2 linked regions of the Macaca fascicularis genome follow. The protein of the gene in region 2 purifies or fractionates together with the protein of the main gene of each other region. This does not show direct contact. Links are inferred from orthologs where the notes say so. Each region holds a gene or a part of one and is shown on either strand. Other genes may lie near its edges.

Evidence for each region. The genes of interacting proteins can lie anywhere in the genome.
Region 1: the proteins of RNGTT (region 2) and PPP4R3A purify together in Homo sapiens (affinity purification with mass spectrometry; 3 studies listed by BioGRID and IntAct, with this or other methods). This does not show direct contact. The link is inferred for Macaca fascicularis from reciprocal best matches to the Homo sapiens genes RNGTT and PPP4R3A.

What each region holds. Positions count from the first base shown.
Region 1 is NC_088381.1:159,504,233-159,507,979, reverse strand, and holds the start of PPP4R3A (serine/threonine-protein phosphatase 4 regulatory subunit 3A), read left to right. Parts: upstream 1-1,338; 5' UTR 1,339-1,990; coding exon 1,991-2,132; intron 2,133-3,747. UniProt on the Homo sapiens protein: Regulatory subunit of serine/threonine-protein phosphatase 4. May regulate the activity of PPP4C at centrosomal microtubule organizing centers.
Region 2 is NC_088378.1:86,409,078-86,412,824, reverse strand, and holds the start of RNGTT (mRNA-capping enzyme), read right to left. Parts: upstream 2,893-3,747; 5' UTR 2,683-2,892; coding exon 2,619-2,682; intron 1-2,618.

The sequences.
Region 1 (3,747 bases), on a different chromosome or scaffold from region 2:
GCCCACGAGGTTGAAGCGGCAATGAGCCGAGACTGAGCCACTGCACTCCAGGGTGGGTGACAAGAGAGAGATCCTGTCTCAAAAGCAATTTTTTTTCCAATAAAATCTAAACACAGATATTTCTGATGAAAATTCAGTATCCCAACAGAGACTTGCTGGAAGGACAAAATATATCACATTTTAAAGACATCGTAAGGTTAAAAAGGAACGTATATCTTTAATAATTTGATTACTGAAATAACATTTTGAAAATACCGCACTGAAACGTTAACACTAATTTCATCAGTTTCTTCGTGCTTTTTGTGGCTACCGCAAAGTTTAAAGTTATGTGTGTGGCTCGCATTATATTCCTAGCGGACAAGCCCGACCTACCAGGCCTAGCAAATGGTAAAAGCCACCAAAATAGTGGCACATGAGCTGCATGATAGGAAACAGAATGTTATTCCTCTGTGAAGATTAGCAATACTTGACATCAAGTAGCTCTTCAAAGCACAGGACTACCTAATGCTGAGAATTACTCCTCCCGATTTTGCAGTGTCGCATTTGTTTTTGTGAGCGCCTTAAGTTCCTTTCCGACAAGGCTCGCAGACAGTTCTGATGGGGATGAAGGAATGGAGCACTTGGGGCTTGCCTAGGCTGTAAGGTGAAGTTTTAGAATTGTCACTTCGGACTCGGTCCCACGCCCAGAAAACGCAAACAGTCCCAAGTTTCCACACTGGCCACGCCAGTCCGCGACCCATGGCGGCTCCCAAGGCTGCGCCAACCTAGCCGCCCACACCCGCGACCTTCCCCGGAAGCGTTTCCATTTCATTCCTTCAAGTCCGCAAGGGGCCGGGTGGGTCCCGAGCGCCCGACTCAGCCGCAAAGGCGGCCCCGGGAAAACGCTCTCGGAAGCGGGTAGGGGCCCGGGCCCACGCCGCCCGGCGTCCGCAGGCCAGGGACAGGGGAAGGAACAAGAGAAGGCGGCGGCAGGCGGACCCGAGGCCGAGACGCCGGGGCCAGCTCGCAGAGGCCGCAGACGGATCCACGCCCCTCGCGCATCCTGGAGCGGGGCTGATGACGAACACAGAGCGCGACGGACGCACACACCGCCCCGCGCTCGCACGACGGTGCGTGCAGGGAGGCGCGAGGGAGCCTCGGGCTGTCACCGGCGCAGTCAGCGTCCCGCCTCCTCCGCTCCCTGCGCTCCCGCCACCTCGGCAACTCCGCGCCCGCCTCCCGCCTCCGTCGGAAGCCTCCGCCGCAGTAAGGCTCCCGGTCTCGCTGCTGTCTCTTTAAATGGTGGGGCTCCGAGCCGCCCCTGCAGCTGCTCCCTGGGTGGCCCCGCGCGCCGCTTTTGAGGGGCGAACCAAGATGGCGGCGGTTTTGGCTGTGTGAGGAAGACGGAAGAGGCGGCGGCGGAGGGAAACCGACTTCCACTAGCCCGGGGCGGTTGGGCGGCCGGGGGCTTCAGAGTCTCCCAGGCAGTGGTAGCATTTGCAGAAGGATCAGGCGCCTGTCGGCTTCTGACGTTTGAAGCAGGGAGCGGAAGGGAGCCACTGGCCGCGGTGGCAGGGCCAGGTATAAGGAAGGAAAATATGGCGGCGGCGGCAGCGGCCTGAGGAGGCGGCGGCGGCGGCGCGGGAAGCTGCTTCGCGGAGATCATGGCGGAGGCGGGAGCAGGGCAGTGACGGGAGCCCCGAGTTCCTAGCGCTGCGGGGCGGGAGGCTACGAAGCGCTGCGCGGCCCCCTCGGGGCTGCCGGGCGCCGGGCTCGCCGGGCCTGGACAATAGCGCCGGGGAGCCGGAGGCGAGGAAAGGCGGCGGCCCAGAACTCGGTCCCGGGAGCGGGCCATGCAGGCGGCGGCGCGGCCCCGCGGCGCCCAGCGGCGGCAGTGAGGCCGGGGAGCCCTTCGCTCGCGGGCGCCCTCACGCCTCGCCCCTCGCCTCTCCAGGACCCCTTTCCTGGGCGTCTACTGGCGGGGCCCCCGCCCCGGTTCCCGGGCGGCACGATGACCGACACCCGGCGGCGGGTGAAGGTGTACACGCTCAACGAGGACCGGCAGTGGGACGACCGGGGCACCGGGCATGTGTCGTCTGGCTACGTGGAGCGGCTGAAGGGCATGTCCCTGCTTGTCAGGGCTGAGAGCGACGGTAAGTGAAGCCCCTCGTGGCGGGCCCTTCGCAGCCCCCACGGCCCTGGGCCGCCTCCCTGGTTCTTGCGGGGCATGGCGCTCGCTCCACGAGAACGGAGGGACGGCTGGCCACGGCAGCCACCCCGGGGGAGGGCGGGCCCCAGGTACCCCAGTCCTGCGGGAGCTCCCCGGAGAGCGCCTGAAATGTTTCCTTTCTCTGAGTGCCTGGTGGCATTTTGGGTACGAAGAGAGCCAAGCGTGTTGAGCTGTGCCGCCCTGGAGTGTGTGAGGTCGAGGACCTGAGATGGGGAGTCCGGAGTGTACTGTTCTTTTGCACTAGAGTGACCTTGAGAAAGACACTGATTAATCCGATCTTCTGCCTTAGTTCACCCATCTGTAAAGCAGGCATGAAACTTTGCTTGGAGCTAAGAAAGTTCTTGGACCTTTCATACTTTGAAGAACATTTTGCTGTGATTTCTTTCTTTTTCTTTTTAAACGTCTTTTTGCTACATGTTTCTGATCCCGTTGGAGGTTGGCAACACTGGATCTGGCAACTCTACGCTAAGAGAAGACGCTTTACCTTGAGAAGATAGAGATTTTTGTTCACCAGTGTTGGTTGTCTTTTTTATAGTAATGCAGAATTTTGTGTGTAGCTCGCTATATAAACATCTTGCAAGTTTGGAATAATTTTATATGAGCTTTTTTTTTTTGATTGCTTAAATGGGTGTTCATAATTTCGTTAACAGGTGCAGAGAAGTTGGCAGATAATTTTTAAAACCTTTCGGATCTTCCCTAGTGTTTATGCTTCACCCATTTTGAAACAACCCTCAAGGTTCAAAGACTAAGTTGTTTGAAAATAAGTGTTTCCCTTTTTTTCTTTTTTCCACATCTTCTGAGTGTTTCATATTTTAGAAGACTTATTCTCTCTAGGGATTGCCACTGTTTTTGGAGATATACAGTGAATTTCACTTAAAATATTCAAGTGGGGTAAAACTGTTGTCAAATTGTTACTTCCAAACGTGAAAGTAAGTTCTCTTCCACCTCTTTTGGTACATTGGTTTATATTTTACAGTTGCTAACGAGGTCAGTTTATTATGATTGTAGTGATTCTGTGTCTGAATTATTACAGACTAATTTCAAGGAATTTTCTTCAGTTGGACTCTACCCAGAATTCCAATTCCATAAAAAACCAACAAGACTAGCCCTTCTGTAGTTGAAGACTTTGGGAACATTGATGTTCTATTTAAATTGAAAGTGGTAATCTGGAGTATATTGCCCACAGGTTATAAGGTTACCCAAAATGACTTAAATCTGGAGAGAAATTATTTCCTTTTGGGGGCATTTAAAATTTTTTGAATGTTGGGTGTATTTTTCTGGGCCTGAGTTATTATTGGCTACTTAAAATACAATTTGAATGTCAAGTGTTAGTGTAATTTTGTATGTGACTCACGTAATAACCTACTCTAGATCTTTCACACATTTGGCAAACTTTACATAGTATGTTAGAAGGTATGGGCTTTTAGTAGATTTATCTGTAGGTTTCTTCTTAATTTTTTACTTTCAAAAAAATAAAAATAAAGACAGGATTTTGTCCTATTGCCAAGGCTGATCTGGAACGCCTGACCTCACGCAGT
Region 2 (3,747 bases):
AAATAAAGCTTGGCCCTGTCTCCAAGAGCTCTCTCTCATTGCAAGTCTGGTTTCATTAGAGAAGGTGACTTCACAGGAGAACATATTATATGTAGTTAGTACCATTTTCTTTCTGATTCAGGAAAATTATGAACTTCTAGTACTAGTAAAGTGAATCCTAATATTTGCAACATATAAGTTTGAACTGCCATAACATTTTCCTCAATATGCAAAATATCAAAGAAATTACTGTGATGGTTAATACTGAGTGTCAACTTGATTGAATTGAAGGATGCAAAGTATTGATTCTGGGTGTAGGGGGCGTTGCCAAAGGAGATTAACATTTGAGTCAGTGGGCTGGGAAAGGCAAACCCACCCTTAATCTGGGTGGGCACTATCTAATCAGCTGTCAGCACAGCTAGAATATAAAGCAGGCAGAAAAAAAATGTGAAAAGACTTGACTGGCCTAGCCTCCCAGCCTACATCTTTGTCCTGTACAGGATGCTTCCTGCCCTCAAACACTGGATTCCAAGTTCTTCAGTTTTGGGACTCAGACTGGCTCTCCTTGCTCCTCAGTTTGCTGACAACCTATTGTGGGACCTTGTGATTGTGTGAGTTAATAGTTAATAAACTCCCCTTTACGTGTGTGTGTGTGTATATATATATCCTATTAGTTCTGTCCCTGTAGAGAACCCTTACTAATAAATTACACGATTAAGTACAAATTACTTTTTTTTGAGATGGAGTTTCACTCTGTCACCCAGGCTGGAGTGCAGTGGTGCAGTCTCGGCTCACTGCAACCACCGCCTCCCGGGTTCAAGTGATTCCCCTGCCTCAGTCTCCCGAGTAGCTGGGATTACAGGCACACACCACCACGCCATCATAGCTTTTTGGCTATTCATATATCTTATTTTGTGAAGTGTCCAAATTTTTTGCGAGTTTTTAAGTCCTTTGAATTTATTCTGTATAATACATTGATGGTGGGGCTATCAAGTGTTACCGCTTTGGAAAAGAGGTTGGCAGTTTCTTAAAATTCTTAAAACATACACCTATTATATGATGCAGCCATTCCTCTCCTAGAGATTTACACAAAAGGAATGAAAGTATATGTCCATACAAAGAATTGTACATAAATGTTCACAGCAGGTTTATTTGTAATAGCTAAAAACTGGAAACAACCCAAATGACCATCAATAGATGAAGAGGTAAACAAATTGTGGTATACCCAGAACAATGGACTACTACACTGCAATAAAAAAGGAATAAACTATTGATACATGCATAATCTGGATGAGTATCAAAATAATTATGCTTAGTGAAAAAAGCCACACACACTTCCTTCCACCCCAAGCAGAGTACTCACTATATGTTTCCAATTATTTAAAAATTTCTAGAAAATGCAAACTATAATTACAGAAAGCAGATCAGCAGTTGCCAGGCAAAGAAGAGATTTAAAAAGGGACAGGAGGAAACTTTGAGGGGTGATGGTTTCATGGTTGTTTCCTAGGAAAGAGATGTATTTGTGTATATATAGTCAAAATTTATCAAACTGTACACTTTAAAGCCTATTGTATTCAAGCTCAATAAAGATGAAAAAAACTACAAGAAAAATGATTTAAAGAAACAAAAACCAGACCAAGCAGGGTGGCTCTCGCCTATAATCCCAACACTTTGGGAGGCCGAAGTGGGAGCATCGCTTGAGTCCACGAGTTCAAGAGCAGCCTCGGCAACATAGTGAAACTGTCTCCACAAGAAATAAACAAAAAAATTATGGCTGGGCGTGCTGGCTCACGGCTGTAATCCCAGCACTTTGGGAAGCCGAGGCGGGCGGATCACTTGAGGACAGGAGTTGGAGACCGGCCTGGCCAACATGGTGAAACCCCGTCTCTACTAAAAACACAAAAATTAGCCAGGTGTTGTGGCACGCACCTGTAATCCCACCTACTTGGAAGGCTAAGGCAGGGAGCCGATATCACGCCACTGCATTCCAGCCCGGGCGGCAGAGAGAGACTATGTCTCAAATATATATATTATAAATGTGTATATATATATTAAATAAACAAAAAAAGTAGCCGGGTGCGATGGCAGGAGCCTGTAGTCCCGGCTACTTGGGAGGCTGAGGTGGGAGGATCGCCAGCCTCAGCGAGAGACCCTGTTTCACAAAAAAAAATAAAAACAAAAAACTAACAAAAACACCCTCCAGATTCCCAGTCTCAATGTGACCCCATTTCACCGCTGGGAACCGCCCCTTCCCTCCTTATCCTCCTCCATCTCAAGACTGACACTCATCCCTTCTAATTCGAGGGGAAGGTTGAACCCTAAAAGGTTCACAAACTACTAAGACTCAAAGTACGCCCACTGTATTCCTGGATCCTCACCTCCTGCCACCAACCTACTGTCTACCTTCACATTCGCACAGTTAGCCTGGCAGGAATAGTGACAAGTGCCCCCCATCCGCCGACCATCCCCTCCCGTTCATGTTCCCAAACATTCGTCCACGAAGCGTAATCAGATGGAGCATATCCCACTCCTGAAATACCACTAACGGGCACAGAACCACCAAAAGCTGAGCTCCTCAGTCGGCCCACCCCCGGGCACGCTGGAGTGTGGGGATTCGAATACCCCCCAGTCCAGGTTACCTGCCACCGGCTGGCCGCGCCGGGGACAGTTCAGCCACCGCGGCGGGATCTTGTTGTGAGCCATGTCTTGGGGGCTGCGCAGAGCTGCCCTCCCTCACCAACGTTCGCCGCGCCTTTGCAGCCGCCTCCCCGTGGTCCGGTGCGCACCGGGGTCCGAGACACCCGAATCGCAGCAGTAATCCGAATTCCAGCCGCTCAAATCCGGGTAACGTCAGGGGCAGCGCGCCACTTTCATTCAGGATCAACTCCACCGCTCCAGGAGAACCCACAATGCACTGCAACTTCCGCCCCCGAAGGCCCCGCCCCCTTCTTTCCGAGGTCAGAGGGAAAGAAGAGGAAGCTCTGCGGAAGGATAGCAAAGAGTTAAGGCGGCGACGAATGGGAGGAGCGGTCCGTCTCTCGCCCCGCTCGGCCCCGCCCCTCCCGGTCGCGGTCCCCGGACGCGCACTTGCGCTCCTGGTTTGCCTTTGCATATGTGCAATTGCGTTTGTACCGAACTCCGCAGGACGAAGCGTGTATTTTTTTCCAATCTAGACAACCTAGAGAAACCCAAAAAAGAGGGAAGCCAAGCCCCTTTCCATGCGTTGATTGCCCGTCACTTCCATTAAGGCATCTGTTTTACTGATGAAGGAGGCCTTCTGAGCGTTACCACAGCGCAAGCTTGGCGTCCCAGCTGGATCTAGGTTTGATTTGGTATTAGGGAAAGTTGTTCAAGGGAATAAGTCTTAGGAGAATTCTAAGGGCGTGAGATTGGAGTACCAGAAATGGGGAATTTTTCTTACGGTGAGTACTTACGAGGATCTATGAAGCGTCTGAAATTAATTCCAGAACACTTAGAGTTTTGTTTGTACATTTCTTTATCAAAGTTTCAAAGCATACTGGGGAGTTTGAGAAGGTCCATGTCTCCAAAAAAGTTACTAAATAATGTGTATAATTGACAAAGGCAGGAGTTGCTCAGTGGAGAACCGTTTCGTGGCGGTGTTCTCCTCTGCCTACCAAATAAACAGTCCCTTTTATTTTCCCTTCGAGTTAAGCAGAGGTGCTTGGAAGCATTTTATGAATGCCGTCCTTTAACGAGCCTTTCCTTTGTTACCAGATTAAATTAGTGTTAAATATAAAGCTGGATGAT